Macaca fascicularis: one gene and its partners. The protein of the gene in region 3 interacts with the protein of the main gene of each other region in a pairwise test. Links are inferred from orthologs where the notes say so. Each region holds a gene or a part of one and is shown on either strand. Other genes may lie near its edges. The genes, in order: ZNF366, AURKB, PSMA3, DMC1 and FBXO7.

Region 1 (3,517 bases), on a different chromosome or scaffold from region 3:
GGGGCCACAGTCCTGGCGTGGTGTCTGCTGCCCCAAATGGGATATCTTTGTTTTGTTCAAGATGAAAATGCCTTTATTATTGATTTACTTTTTTTATGATAAAACGTATGCTCATGGTAAAAAATAAAACAATAGTACATTAAAAGTGAAAAGAGAATGTTTGTTAATTTTAAGATTTTGACATACTTCTTCAAGGCATTTTTTGATAGAGATGGCTAGCTAGATAAAATCAGGTCTGCACTATAAATAAACACACACACACAAACTTACATATATATTTTGTTTTTACTTAAAATACATAGCAAATATCTTTTCGTGATCATTAGTAGGTCTCCACATCACCTATGCATGGTTCACTATATGGATATATCATTATTTATTTAACCAAACCTCTATTATTAAATACAAAAATTTTTCACAGTTTGACTGTGATAAAAAATATGGTGATATGCATCCATACACGTGTTTTGTGCACCTGCCTGCCTATTTTTTCAGTTTAAATTCTCAGTAGTATAATTGCTAAGTCAAAGCTTATTTTTAAAGCTTTCGGTGGATGTTGCCAAATTCACCTTAAAGGGATTAAACCAATGTGGACACTGCCTGTGACAAGCCTCCCATGACCACATCCTTACTGGGAATGATCTATTTGTAAAATACGCAATCAGAATACATTAAACGGCCCTGGGCTGCTCCCCTTCCTCAAGGTTCCGTTGCCCCAGCATTTCCTCAGGTGCATGAATTCTTACTCTGCTCTTGTAGGTCTGGGAAGGGGGAGAATCGCCCTGGCACAGACAGCCGGTGTCCTGAGGAGTCTGGAGCAGGAGGAGCCCTTTGACCTCTCTCAGAAGCACCGGGCCAAGGTGCCCATGTTCCAGTCAGACGGGGAGAGTGCCCAGGGCAGCCACTGCCATGAGGAGGAAGAGGAGGATAACTGCTACGAGGTGGAACCCTACAGCCCTGGCCTGGCACCCCAGAGCCAGCAGCTCTGCACACCCGAGGATCTGTCCACCAAGCCGGAGCATGCACCGGAGGTGCTGGAGGAAACCTGCAAGGAGGAGAAGGAGGATGCATCCAAGGAAGAATGGGAGGAGAGCAGCAAGGGCGACCTTGGGGCAGAGGGTGGCCAGGAGAGAGACTATGCAGGCAGAGATGAGTGTCTCAGCCTCAGGGCTTTTCAGAGTACCCGGCGGGGTCCCTCTTTTTCTGATTACTTATACTTCAAGCACAGAGATGAGAGTTTGAAAGAATTACTGGAGAGGAAAATGGAAAAACAAGCAGTGCTTTTAGGTATCTAAGTGGACAGTTTTAAAATTACATTTGGAAAATGAGAACGAGGCAGTTCAAATATAGCTTTCTGCATGAACTGTCATTTTCTGGAGACTGGCAAATAGTACCAATCTCTACAAATGGCTTAGACTAAATAAGCAGGGATGTAGGTAATGGAAAGCCTTCTCAGGTCATTCACGGGGCCCTTGATACCCTTCACACATGTGCAGGGTCTTCTTCAGTGGCGTTTGATGCATCGCCAGTATAATAAACTGTGAGTATTCTTCTAGATATCTAATCGTAAGCTGATGCTGAGGTGCTTTTAGAAATTCTACTTTCCTCTGATTTATATGCAATACATGGTAAATTTCTAATTGCAAAAATATGGTGCTTGAGGTGTCACCTTATTAATAACTAGGTGAATCCGTGAAGGTTATAATATTTTCCAGATAGATGAAAATATTAGTAGTTGTATATATTAAAATAGCCTTTATTCTATAACCAAACATGTCAGAAATGGCACAGGAGGATGAAATGCTGAAGAGAATGCTCTCGAGTAGTTGCTGCAGATATAAGGTAAAATTTCAGGAGAAGAATAATTTTGACTAAGGGAAACTGGTGACCTAGAATACTTAGATTTTCTTGTTCTATGTTGGCTGTCTTCATCAGATTGAGCATTTGGAGCATTTTTTTTTCAGATGATCTGATGATGTTCAGGGTCCTGGTTCCTCAGACAAACCCCCACTTCTGAAGCAGAGCTCCCTCCTGGAGACCATTGCTGTCTTGCTCTGAGGCCTCATGCCGCATAAGACAGAGGCAGGGGCCGGGCGCAGTGGCTCACGCCTGTAATCCCAGCACTTTGGGAGGCCGAGGCAGGCAGATCACTTGAGGTCAGGAGTTTGAGACCAACCTGGCCAACGTGGTGAAACCCCATCTCTACTAAAAATACAAAATTTAGTCAGGCGTGATGGCGGATGCCTGTAGTTCCAGCTACTCAGGAGGTTGAGGCAGGAGAATCGCTTGAACCCAGGAGGTGGAGGTTGCAGTGAGCTGAGATCATGCCACCGCACTACAGCCTGGGTGACAGAGTGAGTCTCTGCCTCAAAAAAAAAAAAAAAAAAAAAAAAAAAAAAGGACAGATGCAGGAAGAGTTGTCACCAGTGACCAGGGGGTTTCTCCTCAGAGCTAGAGCTGGGGGGTGACCTCAGAGAATTCTCCCAGAAATCTAACCTCTGACTTATTTGGGTTACTAGAATAGTTGACAGCTAATCATAAGTAAAGAAAACTCTGGACTATGTTCTCAGTGCTGGCTGTACATTGGAATCATCTGGGGTGACCTTTGAAAAAAAGACACCAAACCAAGGCCTCACCCATTAAGATTCTGATTTAATTGATCTGGAGTGGAGCCCCAGGACTGGAATTTTCCAGATTGCTCCAGGCAATTCTTATGTGCAATTTCCGAGATTGAGAAGATTGAGGGGACTAAAATAGAACTCACCATTTCTGTGGCTTCCAGGACACTTCCCAGAGACTTCATAAGTATTTCTGTTCCTAGCCTCAGACTCTTTAAGGTTGAGAACAGGAGACCTCACAATCATACTGCTGACTTAGGCCTTCTTACCTGTCTGTAAGAGCCATATGAGTGGACACACACTCTCTCTATATAGGCACACACTTTTGACATTATACTAGAAGATGATGCCTGTGATGTTTATGGTCACTTACTATGTTGAAAAATGCATGGCTGGCCTATGGTGACCCATTATCTCTTCCCAGACTCTTGAACCATGATGCCAGTGAGTGGAAATGACTCTACTGGGTGGGATGGGCCCAGCAGGTCGGCCTTACTTAGGCACTGGCACTGAGAAAAGCAATACTGACCGGGTGTCATGTACGTGTGACTGCCCATAGCAATAACCCTCTGGTACTGTGTCTGTTTATGTAAAAACCTCTTGTTTGGTAGTTTTGACTCTTATTTGTAGAGCTAGGTACTGGTTATTATTGTGCTTCATCCTATCCCAGACTTCCCAATACATTCCTTTAGAAGACATGTCCATCTCCAACTGTTGGAGGCTGGCCTTTTCTGTAGGCCAAGGTTTGCTTCATTAGCCCCACCTGGTTGTCATCACTCACCTGTGTGTTGTGTCCATCTCTGACCCATTTCCCCTGCCATCTTGCCTAAAGCTTCTCCTGTCAGACTCCCCACCACCATGAAGTGCTAAGAGTACTGTGTCCTGAGGTAAGGGCACCT
Region 2 (3,355 bases), on a different chromosome or scaffold from region 3:
CCCCAAGCCTTGGGGTGGAGGGAGGTGAGGGGACAGTGAATGGGCAGGAAGTCGGGAAGATAAAACCTAAGGGCAGGAGGAGTAGAGATGAAGAGAAGTGGGGCGGGGGACAGGATGAGATGAGGAAGCGGAGAGAAAGCAAACCTCTTAATAACCAAAACCGGTTCTGAGTTGCCTTCCCCCACTTTCTAAGCAGGCGGCACTTCACAATTGATGACTTTGAGATTGGGCGTCCTCTGGGCAAAGGCAAGTTTGGAAACGTGTACTTGGCTCGGGAGAAGAAAAGCCATTTCATCGTGGCGCTCAAGGTCCTCTTCAAGTCCCAGATAGAGAAGGAGGGCGTGGAGCATCAGCTGCGCAGAGAGATCGAAATCCAGGCCCACCTGCAGTATGGGTTGATGCCCCCTGAGCCGAAGCCCCTCTGCTCCCTCACCCCAGCTCCTCACTCAGCCCTACCTCATCCAGATTGCGTTCTCTGTAGCTACGGCTAGTGAGCCCCATTTAGCCCTTAGTCCTGGCCAGAGCCTTGAATCCAGAAATCTGCCTCCAGTTTCCCCTTCCCACTCCCATTCCTGGTGTCCCCAGCCTGGGCCCCGTCTGACCCCAGTTTGCTCCTATTATCTTTCCCAGCTCTTTTATGCCTTTGGCCTGAGGCTTCCTCTGTCTCTTCCCTCAGCCATCCCAACATCCTGCGTCTTTACAACTATTTTTACGACCGGAGGAGGATCTACTTGATTCTAGAGTATGCGCCCCGCGGGGAGCTCTACAAGGAGCTGCAGAAGAGCCGCACATTTGACGAGCAGCGAACAGCCACGGTCCGGGCGGGTGGGCACCTGGGCCGCCAGTAGGGGGCTGGAGGCTGAGGGTGTGCTGCTTGTAGCTGGAGGTCCATCCTTGTCTGATTGCCTGTCGTTGCCCCTCCCAGATCATGGAGGAGTTGGCAGATGCTCTGATGTACTGCCACGGGAAGAAGGTGATTCACAGAGACATAAAGCCAGAGAATCTGCTCTTAGGGCTCAAGGGAGAGCTGAAGATTGCTGACTTTGGCTGGTCTGTGCATGCGCCCTCCCTGAGGTATGGTGGCCTGGGAGGCCAGCCCTGGGTGTGAGGCGGGGCCATTAAAACCTCTCCAGGGGCTGGGCGTGCTGGCTCACGCCTGTAATACCCGCACTTTGGGAGGCTGAGGCGGGCGGATCACCTGAGGTCAGGAGTTCGAAACTAGCTTTGCCAACATGCTGAAACCTTGTCTCTACTAAATATACAAAAATTAGCCGGGCATGGTGGCGGACACCAGTAATCCCAGCTACTCGGGAGGCTGAGGCGGGAGAATTGTTTGAACCTGGGAGGCGGAGGTTGCAGTGAGCCAAGATTGCGCCATTGCACTCCAGCCTGGACGGCAGAGTGAGACTCCTCTAAAAAAAAACAAACAAAATGGTTAGAATGTGGTGCTAAGAACCCCAAGGTCATGGGTTTGATCCCCGTATGAGCCAATGGTAAAACTTTAGCCAGGTGCGGTGGCTCACGCCTGCTAATCCCAGCACTTTGGGAGGCCAAGGCAGGTGGATCACTTGAGGCCAGGAGTTCAAGGCTAGCGGACTAGCCTGGCCAACATGGCGAAACCCCATCGTTACTAAAAATACAAAATGTATTAAGCAGACATGGAGGTGCACACTTGCAATCCCAGCTGTGCGGGAGGCTGAGACACGAGAATCACTTGAATCCGGGAGGCAAAGGTTGCAGTGAGCCAAGATCGCCCCCTTGCACTCCAGCCTGGACTCTGTCTCAAAAAAGCCCGGAGCAGTGGCCTTTTTTCCTCCCACATCATTTTTTAACGGTTTCATAGTATCACATAGTAGCTGATTTATTTAAGCAGAACATGCCTGATGGGCATTAGAGATGTCCCCAGTGAACTCCAAAATGAACTCCAAATGAACACTGCCCTCATAGCGGAGTATCTCATTAAGACATATCCTTCAGCGTGGAGTTGCTGGGGCTGTGTGCAGGCTTACCTCTGGGGCTTTCAGATATGTCATCACCCCAACCCCACCCCCACTCCAGTAACCCTGCCTGGCTGGACCTCTCCCCTGGTACCTCCCGTGGTCTTTTGGCTCCCTGCCATCAGGTAGCAGGGAAAGGAGAGTTCCTATGTCACTGGGACCCCTGCCCACGCCCCTTATCCCTCCCAGGAGGAAGACAATGTGTGGCACCCTGGACTACCTGCCCCCAGAGATGATTGAGGGGCGCACACACAACGAGAAGGTGGATCTGTGGTGCATTGGAGTGCTTTGCTATGAGTTGCTGGTGGGAAACCCACCATTTGAGAGCGCATCACACAACGAGACCTATCGGCGCATCGTCAAGGTGGGAGGGCGGCCTGGGCTTCGTGCCAGCTGCAGAGGCCAGGGGCTGGGGGGCTGGGGGTGGGCAGAGTGTATCCGCGTGGCCCTAAGTAACTCCAGACAGAATGGGTAGTCAAGGAAGATGTAGCCAGGGTGAAAGTAATGCAGCCCTTCCATCTCTTCACACCTGCAGGTGGACCTAAAGTTCCCCGCTTCTGTGCCCACGGGAGCCCAGGACCTCATCTCTAAACTGCTCAGGCATAACCCCTCGGAACGGCTGCCCCTGGCCCAGGTCTCAGCCCACCCCTGGGTCCGGGCCAACTCTCGGAGGGTGCTGCCTCCCTCTGCCCTTCAATCTGTTGCCTGATGGTCCCTGTCATTCACTGGGGTGTGTCTGTGTTTTGTATGTTTGTGTATGTATAGGGGAAAGAAGGGATCCTGAACTGTTCCCTTATCTGTCTTCTACCTCCTCCTTTGTTTAATAAAGGCTGAAGCTTTTTGTACTGATGAGTGTAGATGTTTCTAGGTGGAGGCTTTGCTGTGGAGGAAGCTGTTCCCTAGAAGGAGAGGTGGCTCACCCTGAGGAGCTGGGATGAGCATTGCTTTGCTATCCCTGGTAACACCCTACCCTCTCAGCTCTGACACCCACCTGGTCAGCTCCCAGCCACCCCCACCCCTACCCCCACTTTCACCTCTACCCTGTCTGTTCTTTCCATTGTTCTGACTCCCAGAGCCCGGGGGCACTGGGGGCCCTGGCTCCCCATTGCTACATTGGAACACCAGCCATCTCTGGCCACCTTCTTTCACCTCTCTCTTGGTTGTCCAACTTCTAGTTTTTCCTTTTCTGTTTCATTCTCTGCCCCTTTGCCAGCGTAGGAGCAGCTGAACAATTCTGTACCCTAGAAACTGTCTTTGATTCTTTTACTGCTCTGGTCAGGATCTAGTACAGGAGCCAATAGAAGCAGTAGTGATTCTGTCTTGTTCCTGACACAAGGTTTCACTGTCATGTATGATGC
Region 3 (3,943 bases):
GGATTTTCTTTAGCTATGAAGGACTTTATAGGGAAAATTACCCCCCAAAAAAAAGAAAGTTGATAGATCACAGTATTGCTAGTTTTCTAATTTTCACAATAATACTGTGTCTATGTAAAATAATGTTCCTGTGTTGGGGGGGAAATACACACTGACGTATTAATATTTAGGAGTAAAAAAAGGCTGATGCCCTATTTACAATCGGATTAAAATTCAAACCACTTCAAGATTTGCTGTCATGTGCACTTGTTCTCTTCCTGTCACTCTTCCCCACTTAATGAGGGGTCACTCTGACGTGACAGTTCCTAGCGCAAGCCAAGTTTTTTACTGTTCCCTCAACCACTCTTTTGTTATCCTATTTTAAATATCACTCACTTAGAAAGTCATTCCCTGAGCACACTGCCTAAAGTTAGTATCTCCATTCTCTATTAAAGCACTCTTCCTTCTTACTATTTTGCTTATTTATCGTTATCTATTTCTTCCTACTGAATGTAAATTCCATTAGAAACGGTGGTATGTTCTGTTTACAGCTTTTTCTTCAACACGTGGAATACATTAGCGCTCAATAAATATCTTTAATCAGACATATCTTTAACTCTACCAAAAAGCGTTATACTCATAGAAAGAGTACTAATACTTGTGTAAAATTCCAAGCTGAATTCAAAGACGATACCCTTGAAGCGAAACTTCCCGAGAGCCTGGCATAAGAAGGTGAGGTGGATGCCATCAAGATTCTAGGTCAGGATGGGGACGCGGAGGAAGACAGGTTACTTCGCCCCTACTGCTTTTTCTATTCTTTGTGAGTATACGAGCATCTCTCCCTTTTGCTTAAAGACAGAATACAGTGACGAGGAGGGAATAATAATATAAAAAGATAAATAATAATTCCTAGGAAAGGAATAGAGCAGCTTCTCAGATTAAACGACGCCAAAAACTCAAAGTACGTGAACTAAAGGCGGAGCCTTTGCTTTCCCCAACCCCGCCTCTATTGCTTCTGAACATGCGCGCCGCCAGCCTCTAGCGTCCCGCTTCTTTCCCACAATACTCCTGGTCCTGGGGGCCGGAGCCGCGGAACGAGCCACAGAGAAAAAGGTTATTGGTTGGCGATGCAGCCAATGAGCGGGTCTGTTACTAGTTTGCGGCATCCTGTGGTGTAGGGGCAGCGCTCTAGGCCTGGAATCCTTACGCGTCCCGTTGGGTTTAGCACGATGAGCTCCATCGGCACCGGGGTGAGTTTGCTGTCTCTGGGTGTGATAGTTTAACCTAAGGCTTGGGGTTGAAGGGAACTGGGACAGACCACAAGGGTTTCGCGGACCTGGGGTGCTCTAAGACCGCCTTCGGCTGGGTGGGCCACTTGCAGCTGTTTGGAGACCGGTCGTCTTTATCCCCTATATGCTAGGCCTGCGTCTCAGGTGACCATGACTCCTGAAGCTTTTCAGCCCAGGTGTAGCCGGCTTGGCGTCGCCGCGGTGAGGTTTGGAGCAGCTTTGGATTGCTGAGTCACTTTCTTCAGCCACTTAGGGAAACCGAAAGTGGAAACTCGTGGGGCTTGAAATAGTGTGTTCTCTTGAGAACCACCGAGGCAGTGAGATTTGAGATTCCACGGTCCGGAGATCGTGCTTTCTGTGGACTGCGTTTGCAGTTCCCAGGTTGCTGCTGATTCACGGGCCTTCTCTGTCTTTAAGTGTGCAGATCATCGACCGCTCAGTTTAAGAGTCACTGGAAACCCTGTCGGAACAGAACTAATAAAAATGATCTGAATAACTAAATCTGATGAATCCTTCAGTTTTTCCTTTGTCCTTGTTTTTCCTATACAAAGTACCTAACAGCACTTGTAGGCATTTATCCCGTAAACGTTTAAGTGGTTACTTAGGAACTTAACAGCTTCAGACTTTTGATAGACTGTTGAGGATTTTGCAGTGGGACTTGTTAACTTGTTTGGTTTTCCTTTGTTAAACGTATGTATATGTGCAGTTTACTCCTTTTATGTACTCTATATAGAAAATACAGTTTCTACAAGATTTATTGGTTATTTGCACTAGAGTTACTGAATAATGAGTTTCTCAGTTCCTCAATTTCTACTTAACAAGATTCTCATGCTCAGCCTTAAGTTCAAGTACTGGTGTTCTAAATTTGATAATAGGCAATTTATGTCTGGAATGGTTTAATCCATTCGGTTATGAATGCTAAAGTTCTGCCATACTTTTCTTAGATAAGTAAATGCTCAATAATAAATCTTGTAGCAAACTGACTTTGCAATTATATTATTACCTTCAATTAATAGTATTTCATTCTACAAACCTTTTAAAGAATACTTGATAATATAACCATGTGGGATATTTTAGTAACAATGGTAGGGTTAATGATCTGGGTTTAACAGATCAGGAGGCCGGGCGCGGTGGCTCAAGCCTGTAATCCCAGCACTTTGGGAGGCCGAGACGGGTGGATCACGAGGTCAGGAGATCGAGACCATCCTGGCTAACACGGTGAAACCCCGTCTCTACTAAAAAAATACAAAAAACTAGCCGGGCGAGGTGGTGGGCGCCTGTAGTCCCAGCTACTCGGGAGGCTGAGGCAGGAGAATGGCGTGAACCCGGGAGGCGGAGCTTGCAGTGAGCTGAGATCCGGCCACTGCACTCCAGCCTGGGCGACAGAGCGAGACTCCGAATCAAAAAAAAAAAAAAAAAAAAACAGATCAGGAAACAGACTCAGAAAGTACCACTGTTGAAGGCTTATCTTCTGTGTTCATTTCTCCCAAGAACTCCAGATATGAATAATTGTTTGTCTGCTTGACACGTCTGTCCACTTGATTGTTTATTTTGTACTGCATGTCAAAGTAGAGCTCTGGGTTTTCTCCTTACCTTGCCATTTTGCATCTACTACAGTCTTCAGCTCAGTGAATGGTCATATGAAAACATCTGTGATTCATCTTTAATTCCTTTTTTTACTTCCAGAACCAACGCTTTAGCAAGTTTTTTTTTTATTTTTTGAGATGGAGTCTTGCTCTGTCGCCAGGCTGGAGTGCAGTGGCACGATCTTGGCTCACTGCAACCTCCGCTTCCCAGTTCAAGCAATTCTCCTGTCTCAGCCTTCCGAGTAGCTGGGACTACAGGTGCACACCACCACGCCCAGCTAATTTTTGTATTTTTAGTAGAGACGAGGTTTCACCATGTTTGCCAGGATGGGCTCGATCTTTTGACCTCGTGATCAGCCTGCCTCGACCTGCCAAAGTGCTGGGATTACAGGAATGAGCCATCATGCCCGGCCTCGCAAGTTTATTTTTATTATTTTTATTTTTTTACTATACTCTGAAAAAGTATTCCCTTCTACCTCTTCTCTTGTCTAAGCTAGTACCACGATCTTTGGAACACCTCATCTTTGCTTCTGTTGTTCTCTCTAGAATTCATTTTCCACATAAAGCCAGAATGATGTTTTTTAAAATGTAGATCATACCACTCCCCCTGCTTAAATTCCTCGTTGCATTTAGAATAAAATACAAAGTCCTTATTGCAGCCTGGAAGACCCAACATAATTTGACCCACAGCTACCTCACTAACACAGTCTACTCTTCTTTCTGCTGCTTACAGTGCTCGGGACACAGTGACCTTACTTCTGTTTCTTGACTGTGCTAGCCTTATTTCTACCCTAAGATCTTTGTGCCAAATGCCAAGAAGGCTTTTCCTTCATATCTTAAATGGCTAGCTTCTTGTCATTTAGGTTTGACTCAGCCTAAATATTACTGCCCCAGAAGGCCTTCCCTGATGATGTAGTCTGTAGTAGTTCCTTCCATTGCTTTACTCTTTTATTTTCATCTTAGTGCCTTTTCTGATTTACTGCTGTATCTCTAGCACCTAGATTCATGTCTGATTTGAAATTGAAGGACTTAATGAATGAGTGATCACCTTTGTATTCCATGTAGTGGACTAACATAATAGATACTCAT
Region 4 (3,517 bases), on a different chromosome or scaffold from region 3:
ACCCAGGCTGGAGTGACTGGAGTGCAGTGGCACAATCACGACTCACCGCAGCCTCAACTTCCTGGACTCGAGAGATCTTCCTGCGTCAGCCTCCTGAGTAGTCAGGACTACAGGCACGCACCACCCTGCCCAGCTAATTTTTGTATTTTTTTGTAGAGATGGGGTTTTACCATGTTGTCCAGATTGGTCTTGAACTCCTGGGCTCAAGGGATCCACCTGCCGCAGCCTCCCAAAGGGCTGGGATTACAGGCGTGAGCCACTGTGCCCAGCCTCATTCCTATATGTTTTCTTTGCCCTTTTGCAAATGCTATAATTTATTTCCCCATTCGGGTGATTCAAAATCATCTCCTTTTGGAAATAGTGTTCTTAACATTCAGGCTCTTCACCTACAGTAATGACAAACAATTGTCTCTATTCTTTTTTGCACATCGGGTACCACACTAGTAACAGCGAACAATAGTTTGCTAAGAAGAAAAATCATGACTACACATCTAGAAGCTCTAGCTTCCCAGTCTTGTTTAGGTTATCTATAATGGCATGGGAGGCATGGTGCTTCAACTGGGGGAATCTATCTTCTTTTATATTTGCCTCTGTCAGAACACTCTTCAAAAGTTCCCTGAATTGCAGTTTTGAAGATATGACACAAATCTGTGTCCAAGAAGGACCTAGACTAGGGAGTCCCAAATTGTCATCTCTGTATTTATTCCACAATATTTATGGAGTGCCCTGTATAGTATAGGCACTTTTCCAGGCACTGGAGTTTCAAAGATGAACAGAGATTTAGAGTATAGTTGGGGAATAAGACCCATACATTTAAAATTACCATGTAGTGTGCTTTATTATTTATTTATTTATTTATTTATTTATTTTTTGAGACGGAGTCTCGCTTTTGTTACCCAGGCTGGAATGCAATGGCGCCATCTCGGCTCACCACAACCTCCACCTCCCAGGTTCAAGCGATTCTCCTGCCTCAGCCTCCTGAGTAGCTGGGATTACAGGCATGTGCCACCACACCCAGCTAATTTTGTATTTTTGGTAGAGACAGGGTTTCTCCATGTTGGTCAAGCTGATCTTGAACTCCCAACCTCAGGTGATCCGCCCGCCTCGGCCTCCCAAAGTGGTGGGGTTACAGGCGTGAGCCACCTCACCCGGCCAGTAATCTCATTTTTAAAAGTCAGGCTGGGCGTGGTGGCTTGCGCTTGTAACCCCAGCACTTTGGGAGGCCGAGGCAGGCAGATCATGAGGTCAGGAGTTCAAGACCAGCCTGGCCAACACAGTGAAACCTTGGCTCTACTAAAAATGCAAAAAATTAGCTGGGCATGGTGGTGGGCGCCTGTAATCCCAGCTACCTGGGAGGCTGAGGCAGGAGAATTTCTTGAACCCAGGAGGCAGAGGTTGCAGTGAGCGAGAGCACACCACTGCACTCCAGCCTGGGCGACAGAGCTAGACTCCATCTCAAAAAAAAAGGAAAAAGTCAAACAAAATATAAACTATCATAGGAATCTCAGAAGCCTAGACTAGATGAGGTATATAGCAGCTCCAAAACTCACCCCACTCCTTAGTTTATGAACAAGCCTCTGCTTGTTTAGAATATACACTTACTCCAACTCCTGACATCCACCACAGAAAGGTTGCCTTGTAATGGCAGATATTGCCATATATAGTCCATATGATGAAACCTGAAAAGGTATTTTATTAATTCAGCTTTCAGGCAGATCCCAAAAAACCCATTGGGGGACACATTCTGGCTCATGCTTCAACAACAAGAATAAGCTTGCGAAAGGGAAGAGGAGAGCTCAGAATTGCCAAGATTTATGATAGGTAATTTTTTTTTTATTCTTTGTGTGTGTGTGTGTGTGTGTGTGTGTGTGTGTGTGTGTAGAGACGGGGTTTTGCCATGTTGCCCAAGCTGGTCTCAAACTCCTAGGCTCAAGCAGTTCTCCCACCTTGGCCACCCAAAGTGTTGTGACTATAGGTGTGAGCCACCGCAAGGCTATAATTATTACTGGCAGATGCTGTGTATTTGAATTTCCTTATAAAAAAAAGTATTCAATTTATTGGGAAGTCCCTACTGTGTGCTAGGTACTAGGGATTGAGGAATTCTGTTGACACGTTGACTTGCTCCCTGACCTTTCAAAGCATACACCTAGATAATGAAATCATCAATTCCAATTAAAGTGTAGTAAGTGCAAGGTAAGTATCAAGTATTTTTGCCAAGTTAACTCCATTTGTTTTTCAGGTTTCAGTTTAAACATCACTTTCTCGGGGAACCTTTCCCTAACCCTTACAGTCTAGGTTACTCAGTATATTATATGCTATATTCTTTCTCAGCACTTTATGTGTTTAATTAAGAATTACAGATTTTGGCCCGGCACAGTGGCTCACACCTGTAATCCTAGTACTTTGGGAGGCCAAGGTGGGCGGATCACCTGAGGCCAGGAGTTTGAGACCAGCCTGGCCAACACGGTGGAACACCATCTCTACTAAAACTACAAAAATTAGCCGGACGTGGTGGCAGGCGCCTGTAATCCCAACTACTCAGTAGGCTGAGGCAGGAGAATTGCTTGAACCCGGGAGGCGGAGGTTGCAGTGAGCCAAGATCGTGGCACTGCACTCCAGCCTGGGCAACAGAGCAAAACTCTGTCTTAAAAAAATAAAAAATACAAAATTTAAAAAAATAAAGAATTACAGATTTAATAAATTTTTACAGAGAAAAACTACTACATGTTAACTGTTCTAGGTTCTTGGGATAAAGCAGTGAACAAAACAAAAAGACTAGTTCATGCCCTCAAGGAACGTACTTTCATTTTATTGGTAATGATTTGTATAACATATGTCATCCCCTCTAGATAGTAATCCTAAGGGTTTGCTTCCTCACCGGTGTATTCCCAGTTCCTGGGACATGGTAGATGTGTCATATTTGTGACTGACTGATCAACCCCAAGCCACAAAGCAAAGATTTGCAGTAACTCTAGGGTAGCCTAGAGAGGGAAAAGCTGCTCCCTGAAGATCAGATGAGCTCTTAATCTGGTGTTTGCTATGAATCACAATAGTACTTATTATGTATTATTATTGAATAAATATTAAATAATCAGTTCCCCCATCTATCTAAGATGGTTTTTGTTCCAACCATTTTGTTTTTCACCATCTGTCTCTGTTAAAGATTATAATACATAAATGTTACATTTTTGTTGTTGTTGCTGTTGTTGTTGTTTTGTTTGTTTGTTTGGAGATGGAGTCTCGCTCTGTCGCCCAGGCTGGAGTGCAGTGGTGCGATCTCGGCTCACTGCAAGCTCTGCCTCCCAGTTCATGCCATTCTCCTGCCTCAGCCTCCCAAGTAGCTGGGACTACAGGCACCCACCACCACGCCCAGCTAATTTTTTTGTATTTTTAGTAGAGAAGGGGTTTCACTGTGTTAGCCAGGATAGTCTTGATCGCTTGACCTCGTGATCTGCCCGCCTCAGCCTCCCAAAGTGCTGGGATTACAGGTATGAGCCACCGCGCCTGGCCTGTTGTT
Region 5 (3,517 bases), on a different chromosome or scaffold from region 3:
ATGGAAATATGAATAGACTGTTAGGGGACGAAAGGAAATGGCAAAAAATTTTTCTTTGAAAAAGGCTTTACAGAGGAAGTGATATTTGATTATTTTGGAGTTTTAAATAATCATATGGTTTTGCTAGGCAGAGAAGTGAGTCTTGGAAGAGAGAGATCAATCCCTGTTTCCATATTGCAATTTTACCTGTTTGAACAAAAATTTTGATTAAAAGTGTTGTAATATATTATCCTACAATATAAAATATAATGGCAATATTAATGATGCATTGTATTAAGAGGACTATGTGGAATGATTATTTCAAACAAGTTAGGAGTCTTTTGGATTTTTAATCTTTTTGAGAGTAACACCTTTCTTCATTATTTGTTTCCCTTTCATTTCGTTCCCCAGGGCACCGAAGCCAAAGCACTGTCCATGCCGGAGAAGTGGAAGTTGAGCGGGGTGTATAAGCTGCAGTACATGCATCCTCTCTGTGAGGGCAGCTCCGCTACTCTCACCTGTGTGCCTCTGGGAAACCTGATTGTTGTAAATGGTAATTGAATAGCATAGTCATGGTTGCTCGTTTATGGATTCTTAGACGTTTCTTTCCAAATGTTTTATAGCCACTTCAGTGATTGGCTATCATGATACAGTTGTGAGTCCTTCTCAACTTTATTGAATTCCTAGACCACTGATAACATGTGTCTGGAAGATTATAGAGTAAGAGGTTGTTGGGTTGTTTAGGCCAGCACCCTTCACTCTTAGGGCATCCATTTTCTTGATGTCTTAATCTTTGTAATATTTTGCTCTGGGGGGTAATATTTAATATTATCCAATATTATCAATATTTGATAATATGAGTGAAATGAGCCTATTATACATGAACTCTTTGGAGAATACTTTTTCTTTATCCCTGTGGATGGCTTTATTTTTTTAACGAAGGTCTTGAACTGAGACATGGGGAACTAGAGCTGGGGTCACCATTTATCCAAGTTCGCATCTCTGTGGCCAGCAGTGCACAACAACAATGCTAAGTTTACTGAGGCCTTAGTAAGTGTGTGTTTTATTTACTGGGCCTCCCCCAACAAATGTCACTCTGCATAAATAACTTTTCCTGTCTCCTTTTTCATATTAATAAATTTCACTGGAATAGCAAGGCATTCCATCTTTGTGTTTTAGTTCAGATACCACTTTGGTTCATATCAACTCCTAGTAGTCTATCATAATCACACATCCTGGAGATCCATTTGAATGACTAGGAGCTTTCATTTTTATTCTGTTTTGTTTTTTGAGGTTTATCCTTTTAGTTAGAAAGATAGTGTGGCAAGATTGGGAGGGCTGCATTTGTTGTTTTGTTTATTCAGTATAGCTCATCTTTTTTGTTTAGCAAAGGAAGTTGCTTTGGTAAGCCTTAGGTCAAAGGTTTAGGTCAGGTTTTCAGTATGTTCTGCAGCTGCTCCTTTGCCTAGATGAAAGTTAGGTAGAAGCCTTATCACCACTTAAAAGCAGCAAAATGTTTATCTGTTTCATTTATTGAAGTTTTGTGTGAGATTCTGTTTGAAAAAAATGGTGGTGGTTTTTTTTTCCTGCTAAAATCTATTTTGAAAGCTACTGACTTATGCTGTCTTGATCTTTGAGATGTTGGATAGTTCTCATTCCCCTCTTACGAAGTTTCTTTTTCTTTTTCTTTTTTTTTTTTTTGAGACAAGGTCTTGCTCTGTCACCTAGGCTGGAGTGCAGTAGCCAGAGCATGGATCATTGCATCCTTGACCTCCTGGGCTCAAGCGGTGTTCCTCCTTGGCCTCCTGAGTAGCTAGGACCACAGGCGTGTACCACCACACCTGGCTATTTTTTATTTATATTCTGTAGAGATGAAGTCTCACTGTGTTGCCCAGCCTGGTCTCGAACTCCTGGGTTCAAGCAGTATTCCTGCCTTGACCTCCCAAAGGGCTGGGATTACAGGTGTGAACCACGCCTGGCCTCTTAAGAAATTTCTATTTCTTTAGTCATAAGATTCTTTGAAATGTTATTTAAAAGTCTCAAAACGTTAGGTTTTAATAGCTTTGGTGGTACTTCACGTTTGTCAGGACATGACTGTCTGATGACACTAGGACCTAGCAATGTCTATTCAGCAGTTCATCATAATTAGCAAATGTAGCTTTTAGTCTGGCATTCTTGTACACAGAGTGTCAACAGTTTCTGCCTTCCTCTCATCATTCTGCTACATCACATCATAACTTGCAAGGTTGAAGTTACCAAATAGTAAATGTGTAGTTGCAAATTTTGCCTTGATTTCTTATAAAAGCACTTAATGACATGTATAATAACCTCTATTCATTAGATTCAGAATACTTAATATAAAAAGAATAACTACTGAATGTCTTGATGATTTCTTAATTTCTCATACTTTGTTTCTTTACTGTTCTTGGCAAATCAGCTCTTGGCAGACTTGCATGGCAGCCAGCCATTCCAGGATTGATTATTTGAAAAGAGCAGTGTGTCTTTAAATCTTTCCTTCACTCCAGGCATCCTGCTTGGTGCACATGTGCATAAGCACATCACTGGGCTCTTTCATGGAATGAGTTGAAGTGCGCCTTTGTATACATGATTAAAATTGAACCCTCTGGTGATGTCAAGAATATTGGTCCTTTGGGTCTGGAAGAGAGATGATGCTCTGAAAACTAGCAAGATTATTTTAATGAACAAGGGAAGACTCATTGCCAAGGGTTAAATAAAAGATAAATGGAGTTTTTAGTGACTTCATTAGAAATAATGATTTTATTGTGTTTAGTTGCCTCTGATTAGCCTTGTTGTGTATCTTTCAATTACTAATAAGCTGCTGCCTAGTAGATTTTATATAAAGATGCTTACTGTAGTTTTTAAAGGTGGTGTTGTAGAGTGATTTTACTTCATGTGATGCCAGGTTTACACTTTTGAACTTGCTGTCAGAGAAAGAAATAGGCGAAGAACAGTTTGTTTTATATAATGTGTCCTTAGTATATTAGGAGCAAGGAAATGCAAGCCCATACTAAAAAAGAAAGGCAGTTGATGAAGTGACAGAATTTTTTATCATCTTTCTTATGTTTATTTACAGCTACACTGAAAATCAACAATGAGATTAGAAGTGTGAAAAGATTGCAGCTGCTACCAGAATCTTTTATTTGCAAAGAGAAACTAGGTAATATAAACATTATTTAACTTTTGGAGTGAAACTCTGTGAAATTCGTGTAAGAAAAAAATCTGAAAGATAATGTTCAAAAGACAGAAAATTTCTATGTGAGATTAAAGCATATGTAAGATAATGTGGTTTGCTTAAGAATGCAAAGGTTTAAAAAATGCGAAAGTTTTGCTTATAATTTGAGGAGTTTGTTTCTTTCCTGTTTTTCTTAGGGTCATAGAGTGCTGAATTATATTGTTATGAGATAACACTAGTATGTAATTTATTACAGTCTGATGATAGTTCATAGTTTCTGTACTAATCTTTGGAGATCTCTCTGGTATCATATTTAACCAATATAGAGATCTGTGTTTCATGGAA

The links.
Region 1: the proteins of PSMA3 (region 3) and ZNF366 interact in binary tests that used the Homo sapiens proteins (3 or more experiments, as listed by UniProt). The link is inferred for Macaca fascicularis from reciprocal best matches to the Homo sapiens genes PSMA3 and ZNF366.
Region 2: the proteins of PSMA3 (region 3) and AURKB interact in a two-hybrid assay, tested with the Homo sapiens proteins (2 studies listed by BioGRID and IntAct). The link is inferred for Macaca fascicularis from reciprocal best matches to the Homo sapiens genes PSMA3 and AURKB.
Region 4: the proteins of PSMA3 (region 3) and DMC1 interact in binary tests that used the Homo sapiens proteins (3 or more experiments, as listed by UniProt). The two-hybrid records come from large-scale screens. The link is inferred for Macaca fascicularis from reciprocal best matches to the Homo sapiens genes PSMA3 and DMC1.
Region 5: the proteins of PSMA3 (region 3) and FBXO7 interact in binary tests that used the Homo sapiens proteins (3 or more experiments, as listed by UniProt). The two-hybrid records come from large-scale screens. The link is inferred for Macaca fascicularis from reciprocal best matches to the Homo sapiens genes PSMA3 and FBXO7.

What each region holds. Positions count from the first base shown.
Region 1 is NC_088380.1:76,382,505-76,386,021, reverse strand, and holds part of ZNF366 (zinc finger protein 366), read left to right. Parts: intron 1-759; coding exon 760-1,295; 3' UTR 1,296-3,517. UniProt on the Homo sapiens protein: Has transcriptional repression activity. Acts as a corepressor of ESR1; the function seems to involve CTBP1 and histone deacetylases.
Region 2 is NC_088390.1:8,284,840-8,288,194, reverse strand, and holds the end of AURKB (aurora kinase B), read left to right. Parts: intron 1-193; coding exon 194-388; intron 389-676; coding exon 677-815; coding exon of another isoform or gene 816-825; intron 826-925; coding exon 926-1,074; intron 1,075-2,186; coding exon 2,187-2,361; intron 2,362-2,532; coding exon 2,533-2,706; 3' UTR 2,707-2,842; downstream 2,843-3,355. UniProt on the Homo sapiens protein: Serine/threonine-protein kinase component of the chromosomal passenger complex (CPC), a complex that acts as a key regulator of mitosis.
Region 3 is NC_088381.1:126,091,598-126,095,540, forward strand, and holds the start of PSMA3 (proteasome subunit alpha type-3), read left to right. Parts: upstream 1-1,140; 5' UTR 1,141-1,208; coding exon 1,209-1,229; intron 1,230-3,943. UniProt on the Homo sapiens protein: Component of the 20S core proteasome complex involved in the proteolytic degradation of most intracellular proteins. This complex plays numerous essential roles within the cell by associating with different regulatory particles.
Region 4 is NC_088384.1:13,125,926-13,129,442, forward strand, and holds part of DMC1 (meiotic recombination protein DMC1/LIM15 homolog), read left to right. Parts: intron 1-1,704; coding exon 1,705-1,821; intron 1,822-3,517. UniProt on the Homo sapiens protein: Participates in meiotic recombination, specifically in homologous strand assimilation, which is required for the resolution of meiotic double-strand breaks.
Region 5 is NC_088384.1:19,139,343-19,142,859, reverse strand, and holds part of FBXO7 (F-box only protein 7), read left to right. Parts: intron 1-390; coding exon 391-532; intron 533-3,073; coding exon 3,074-3,157; intron 3,158-3,517. UniProt on the Homo sapiens protein: Substrate recognition component of a SCF (SKP1-CUL1-F-box protein) E3 ubiquitin-protein ligase complex which mediates the ubiquitination and subsequent proteasomal degradation of target proteins and plays a role in several biological processes such as cell cycle, cell proliferation, or maintenance of chromosome stability.